2 linked regions of the Caenorhabditis elegans genome follow. Each later gene encodes a partner of the first gene's protein in a complex. Each region holds a gene or a part of one and is shown in the gene's direction. Other genes may lie near its edges.

What was found.
Region 2: the proteins of ins-6 (region 1) and zig-4 are in contact, whole or in part, in a crystal structure (PDB 8TK9), measured with the Caenorhabditis elegans proteins. Residues at the interface, in NP_495198.1 of Caenorhabditis elegans: Pro60 (codon at 2,103), Glu64 (codon at 2,115), Thr65 (codon at 2,118), Ala67 (codon at 2,124), Cys68 (codon at 2,127), Arg70 (codon at 2,133), Lys71 (codon at 2,136), Leu72 (codon at 2,139), Ser74 (codon at 2,145), Leu75 (codon at 2,148), Ala78 (codon at 2,157), Val79 (codon at 2,160), Cys96 (codon at 2,265), Cys97 (codon at 2,268), Asn99 (codon at 2,274), Gln100 (codon at 2,277), Cys101 (codon at 2,280), Ser102 (codon at 2,283), Asp103 (codon at 2,286), Ile106 (codon at 2,295); in NP_509335.1 of Caenorhabditis elegans: Lys47 (codon at 2,207), Val49 (codon at 2,213), Met70 (codon at 2,276), Val106 (codon at 2,384), Thr108 (codon at 2,390), Gly109 (codon at 2,393), Ile110 (codon at 2,396), Asp169 (codon at 2,623), Ser170 (codon at 2,626), Phe172 (codon at 2,632), Thr175 (codon at 2,641), Trp221 (codon at 2,779), Met224 (codon at 2,788), Gly225 (codon at 2,791), Thr226 (codon at 2,794), Glu241 (codon at 2,839), Phe243 (codon at 2,845), Tyr245 (codon at 2,851), Pro246 (codon at 2,854), Thr247 (codon at 2,857), Ala248 (codon at 2,860).

Annotation. Positions count from the first base shown.
Region 1 is NC_003280.10:5,998,568-6,001,515, forward strand, and holds ins-6 (putative insulin-like peptide beta-type 5), read left to right. Parts: upstream 1-1,868; 5' UTR 1,869-1,925; coding exon 1,926-2,184; intron 2,185-2,238; coding exon 2,239-2,318; 3' UTR 2,319-2,442; downstream 2,443-2,948. Other genes in the region: ins-5 (Putative insulin-like peptide beta-type 6), read left to right, coding at 1-133, 184-269. UniProt on the Caenorhabditis elegans protein: Probable insulin-like peptide which negatively regulates synapse development at the neuromuscular junctions. Probably acts as a daf-2/InsR agonist ligand to prevent dauer formation under optimal environmental conditions.
Region 2 is NC_003284.9:7,923,474-7,927,118, forward strand, and holds zig-4 (Zwei Ig domain protein zig-4), read left to right. Parts: upstream 1-1,960; 5' UTR 1,961-1,995; coding exon 1,996-2,064; intron 2,065-2,137; coding exon 2,138-2,510; intron 2,511-2,560; coding exon 2,561-2,880; 3' UTR 2,881-3,122; downstream 3,123-3,645. UniProt on the Caenorhabditis elegans protein: Required for maintaining axon position of PVQ and PVP neurons postembryonically in the ventral nerve cord (VNC) by preventing axons drifting into the opposite side of the VNC that could occur during body growth and movement.

The DNA of each region.
Region 1 (2,948 bases):
TCGTCATCCGATTCAACCGGAAACCAACCAATGGATGCGATCTCAAGAGCCGACCGTCACACCAACTACCGATCATGCGCATTGCGGCTCATCCCGCATGTCTGGTCGGTGTGCGGTGACGCCTGCCAACCACGTAAGTTTATTCAATTGAGAATAGCATTTCAACTTAACATCATCTTTCAGAAAACGGAATCGATGTCGCTCAAAAATGTTGCTCCACTGATTGCAGCTCCGATTACATCAAAGAAATCTGCTGCCCATTTGACTAATTGGATCCCAGAATAAGAAGAAGAATCAAGTTCATCTACACACCTACCGTCACCCTCCTGAAACCAACCTAACTCATTATTTTCCTCTGTTTCAACTATCTCATATTTCCAATTCTATCTCAACAAATTTCCGCCTCCTCCTTCTCTCAAATTTTCCTATACTTATCAATAAATAATGGTAACAAAAACTGTTCAGAACTCAAATTTTGCAGATTGCCAACTCAACTGGGAAATTGAAAAAAAACAACTCACGGGCATTCAAGGATTTCAGAACTTTATTTCAGACGGATAGGAAGCTACAAAGTTTTCATATGAACTCAAAAAGAATCGTTCCAGTTTGGTGTGTTGACGCGACAGCATGGCCGGTGGGTGTAGGAGAACCAAGCCGCTGACCGTCAATAGGCGCGGTTGGACTCGGAGCAGATAATCGATAAACGCGTATGAGCAGCAATGTTTTTGTGGGAAGGAATAACATATCACAATTATCACTTTCTGAATTTCCAGTATGTTATGTTTTTCAGATGTTTTCAGATGAAATTTTCTTTAATATTTATCCCGCCAAATTCTTTTTCCTTAATTCTTATTCGGAGTTGGACATCGTTATAGGGCAGATCATAATTTCCGTTTAAATAGGATACTCTCAAGAAATATCTGCCAATGTTCATAAAGAAATGACGTTTTTTTTACTACCCATCTTTAATAACATTAAATTTAGTGTCTTAGTTAGCCTCAAACAAGTCTAAACCCACAGAAAATCCTATGAAATGCTAATTCAAAAATACTGCGGTAGAATTTTCCGGCCAATTGTTGAGCTACTACAGATTAGCAGACGATAATTGAGTAACGCTGATTTTTCAGAACAAGTGCTCGAATGAACGTTCATAATTTCCTCAAAATCTTTTTTGATAATATTTCTTCTATTTTTTAATTTGTTTCTTTTGAAAAACAATTTTCAAAATGTGATATGGTATTTGATCGCGTTAGCTTTTCGCTTTTGGTACCAATTTTTTTTTCAAGTTTGACCCGAAAAAAAAATATTTTGGTTCATAAGTTGGATCAAAGTTAGGTCAAACGTGGGAGCAGCCTGAACCAAGTAGTGTCCGTCTTTTTCTTCAACTCTGCAAAATTTTGCACCAAATTAATATTTTTCGGCCAAACTTGGGCAAGAAGTTGCCTCCAGACCAGGCGACGCAGATCACTATTTTGAAGTCACATTGTTTCCTCCTACATTATCGTACTAATTTTTGATTAAAATTCTCATGAGAGTTCATTATTATTTTGATTAATTAACTTTCAAAATTTCCGAATTTTCTCCCACATTTCCATTGATATCCGTTTCTCTCTCATGCACTATAGCTGCATAATGAATCAGAATTATTCTTGGTTACCAAGAGCTCAGATTCTGTAGCAATCTCAATTGCTGGGTTTACCCACCCCTTCGTGATGCTCCGCCTATTGCACTTTATGATTATACTGATTTTTAGAAAGAGAAGGGGCGTGGCACGTGGCTTACGCAAAGAGATGGATTCGGGGGCCCCTCCCAACTGGAAATTAGTATAAATACTTAGAATATTTAAAAGTTATCATCGTCTTCATATCTTTTGACGAGTATCTAGCAACTCCCCGTACTCATTTTCCGTTATCCATATCATTATAATGAACTCTGTCTTTACTATCATCTTCGTTTTGTGCGCACTCCAAGTCGCTGCAAGTTTCCGTCAATCCTTCGGTCCTTCAATGTCTGAAGAATCAGCAAGCATGCAACTTCTCCGTGAACTTCAACACAACATGATGGAATCAGCTCACCGACCAATGCCACGAGCAAGACGTGTTCCAGCACCAGGAGAAACTCGTGCCTGCGGAAGAAAACTCATCTCTTTAGTCATGGCTGTCTGTGGAGATCTTTGCAACCCACGTAAGTTGAATTAAATGTTTACATAATTCAATTATTTATTTCTTGAACTTTCAGAAGAAGGAAAGGACATTGCGACTGAATGCTGCGGAAATCAGTGTTCTGATGACTACATAAGATCTGCTTGTTGTCCATGAATTTTTACCTTTACTCCGATATCAGTCTCTGTACCATACAATCTCGTTTTTTTGAATCTCGTTTCACCCGTGTCTCATCAAATCTGTCATCCCAGTGGCTTGTACAATAAACCTTGATTGAAATAGAACTTATTTCTTCGTTTGTTTACGGAAGTCTATTTCCATGCGAATTTGGGTGGTTGAAACTCGGGTTAATTGTTCGGCGAGTGCCAAAATGAGCAGTGCGTTCTCTTTCCGCGTCCTTCATCCACTCTAACACTTCCGCCAGTTTATGCTGCTCTTTGAAGATATCACGTGACTTTGAGTAACACCTGTCAATGGAGCCGGCCAGAAATCAAAAGTGCGTTATCATTTGCATCTTCCGATTCGATTGTTGCCGAGTGCATTGTGTAGTGCAAAAAAATCAGAATCCGGTGACGGGGCAGCTGATTGATGAGTCTAAAGCTTTAGAGAGCCCGACACACTCCGGAAGTTGAAGTTACCGAAATTTCAGATTTTATTCGCAGCAACAAATGCAAAAACAACAGCAAATAACTATACAAAAAGAGCTTGAATAAAATTATGTTTTTGCTATTTCGTTTTACGAAGAGTCGTTCGTATTCTAATTATCACTTTGCTTTACTGTTATTT
Region 2 (3,645 bases), on another chromosome or scaffold:
TGTTTTAAAAACAACAGATTTTTCTGGATAAATTTCAGTTATTGCGGTCGTCGTCACTGTTCATAAAATGAATGAAAGGAAACTTATACAATTTAAAGATTGGGAATAACACAAAAAGTAGGTTCGTAACAGAAAATAATACTTCGCTTTTTGTTTAGACCACTACTAACTATGTAAGTTTTACTTCAGGTAGATACGTTTTTTGACAATAAACAATAGTCTCGGTTAAGTTTGACCACGGCCGAAAACAATAATTGCCCAAGTCTTGCCCAAATTCAAAAAACAAGTTTTACAAATTTTTAAACCATGTTCATATTTTTGGGCAAAACTTTGGCGCGCAATTGTCGACTGAGTGAACAATGTTCTACTGTCAGTCTTGCACTTTTTTCGGATTTTGAGAATTGTGGTATGTCAAGATTTTTGATTACTCAAGAAAAATATATTAATTCTAGTTTCTACGTGTGGATCTTTTACAACTTTTTAAATTTTGTGCCCCTTAGTCACTTAGCCCAACTTCTCATGACCAGTCAAAGTTCAACAAAAATCCGGAAATGAAATGCAGTGGAACTAAAAATAAGAAATGCATAGTTCAGAAGTTTTTGAGCATTGACCGGATGGGCATCAGTGAAGTGAAACCTAGCCAGGCTCGAGTTTTTTTCAAATACACACGGTGCGTGGGTCGTATAAAAATAACTTTATATTGCGGGTTCAAACAGACTACAAGGCGTCTAGATAAATGTGGGGGTCTGTAAAAAATTTAACCGTGCAACGTCATTCGAATTAGTTCCAGTTCCAGTTAAAGTTTTAAAGGGGCGAAGTAGCTTTTCTGCTTTTTTGAATAATTTGTTAACTTTAAAAAATCCCCAAATTATCAAACCGCTTACTGACACAGCGCGAAAACATTTTCAGCTAAAAAAAGCAAAAACCACAACATGCAAAAAGGTTGCTAATTAAATATAAACAATTTGACGACCACTGCGTTGGTATTATTTTTAGAGTTTCCTTTAATAAAAATTGATATGAAAAATTTTTAGATGTCTTATAGTAAGATGCGCGAGTTGGATATTCAATTTAAAAAAACCGATTTCCAAACTTTTGTTTGCGACCCTACCCACATTTTAGCAAAATTCCTTCTAGGATCAAAGGAAAATCTTTTTGATTTTTGATAATTCTACTATGACTCGTATATGAAGTTCAGTCTTTAGTCTTGCCGGAAGTTCAACATTCAATTTTAATGTACATCCGGAATGAGGTATACTTTAAAAATTATTACGTGAACCCTATTAGGCAAGGCAAATCTTCTCGTCTGAAATAACTTTCACTAAAAATCGAACATCAAAGTCTTAACCACTGTTCATATTGAGTTGCAATCCAATAAAAAAAATTATTAAGAGTAACACCGAATGATATTTTCCCAGTCTGTCTAGACTACCTATTTAAAAAATCGTGCGAAAGGTTACAGGAATGCAACTATAAAGTTTTATTCTATGAATATCATGTCTATTCTTTAAAAAAATCCATCTGTTGGGTTATCTCATTTGCAGGTTCTTAGAAGTTTCTAAAAACTTTATATTAATAACGCCTACTGCTAATGGCTGTTCTAGGGACAATTTTTATAGATAAAATTCAGACCAAATACTATGGCAGAAAAATTAGATTCTATGTAAATTTGCAGTCGTTACGTGATTTGCTACGATTTTTCCCAGTATCACCTAATTACGAGCCATCCGCCGTTTTTGCTTGACTGGTTCCTCCAGTTCTTGATCAAACTCGTACGAAGCACATTAGGATGTTCTCATCCGACGTCATAATCTGCATATGCTTAGATCTCCGCCCCTTCACAGAAGCAGAAGAAGACAATGGGGCGGGAATGCATATACGGATAGAACTGACTCCCGCTCCATTTAGGCCCGCCCTCTAGTAGCGGTCCTATAAAAGGCCCGTTCAGGAGTACAACGACAACACAGTTCATTCAATTGTTTGACCTCCGGTGGAATGTTCGCTATTGCCCTTCTCTCATTTTTAGTTGTCCTTATCAATGCACATCCTCCAATGCATGCGGAAGTAAGTTGAGAGTCCCGATTTTATTTTATTGTTTGATTCCAGCAATTTAATATCTAAATTAAATTATTTTCAGATGCACTCAGCTGTTGTTACTCTAGCTAATGAGATAGATACAAACTATCTCACCTCGCCAGCAAAGATAAAAATCGTGGCGCCATTGGAAAGCGCGCTGATTCCTGGAGGAGAAACATATCAATTGCGATGTGATATAATGTCCACTCCTGCTGCTACCATTCATTGGAAGTTCAATGGAAAGTTGATCCAGGGAAGTAATGAATTGAATGTCGAAGAGAAGTTGCTGAACTTTGGAAAAGCAATTGTTGACACTGGAATTGTTGCCTCCATACTCACCATCCAGTGCCCATCAGCTGAAAACTCAGGAACATACAGTTGTGTCGGATACAATGGACATCAAACAATAGAAACGGTTGCCGAAGTCGAAATTGGTATGTTGTATAAAACCTGAAGTAATTTGGATAAATATTTAATTTTTCAGAAGGAGAAGCTTCGGGGTGTAGATCAAATCACAAATCCGCACCTGAAATTGTTTTCTGGACTGATTCTCGTTTTGAGATGACTGGAAACGTGGCCACCCTTGTCTGCCGCGCAAATCAGCAAGTCGACTGGGTATGGATGTCCAACGATGAGCTTGTAAAGAACAATGACAAGTTCACGGTTCTTTCAAATGGAGATCTCGTTATCAAAAACATTGTATGGGACGATATGGGAACATATACTTGTATAGCAAGAAACCAATTTGGAGAAGCTCGCCAAGAAACATTCCTTTACCCAACCGCGAAAAAATCTTCTTTCTAAATTTATCACTTTTCACTCATTTCATAATAATTCCGCGTATTTCCCAAAGACATTAGAAATGTCACAAAACATTGTTTTCACGTTTTCCCTTCTTCCCAAAAAATGCTCCATTGTTCGAATTCAACCGATCTTTGATTTACTAGTATGTGTTCTCCCCGTGAATCCTTTTTGATATCCTATAATTTCGTTAATATGATTCTCAGATTCTCAGACGAACAATGAATATTCCTCCTTGTAAAAATGACAATTATCTTGTTAGAGACATTCACAGACAGGTTTCAAAGATATTACACACAAGTTTGTATAAAAATCTGAATAAAAATCTGAGTCATCTTGGTTTTCGGGCGGGGTAGCGCCATTGAGGGAATTGTTAAAAACACCTCCTATGGTACCAAGTGTTATTGTTAAACGTTTAAAAACTGTCCTGAAAAATGTTTATTGATAAGTCGCAATTACTGACTACTGAGTGAGTATTTGCCATATTTTAAAAGACGTCAATAAAAAATTTTCCTCTAAATTTTTTTCATTTTTTTAATACTCTCCGCAAATTATGAGCCTGGAGAAAACGTAACTTGTGAAAGTTTAATGTTAAGAAATAAACGTTGATGAAAGTCAGCATTTTGTGCTAAATTTTATACATACAGTGCGCACACCCCTCCAATTTGGAGGATTTATAGCGTTTCAAGATATTTTTTTTAGAAAAGTGTTAGTTCAGTTTGATAGCAAATGTTGAAAATCTATGCTCCCCAATTCTTATAATGATAT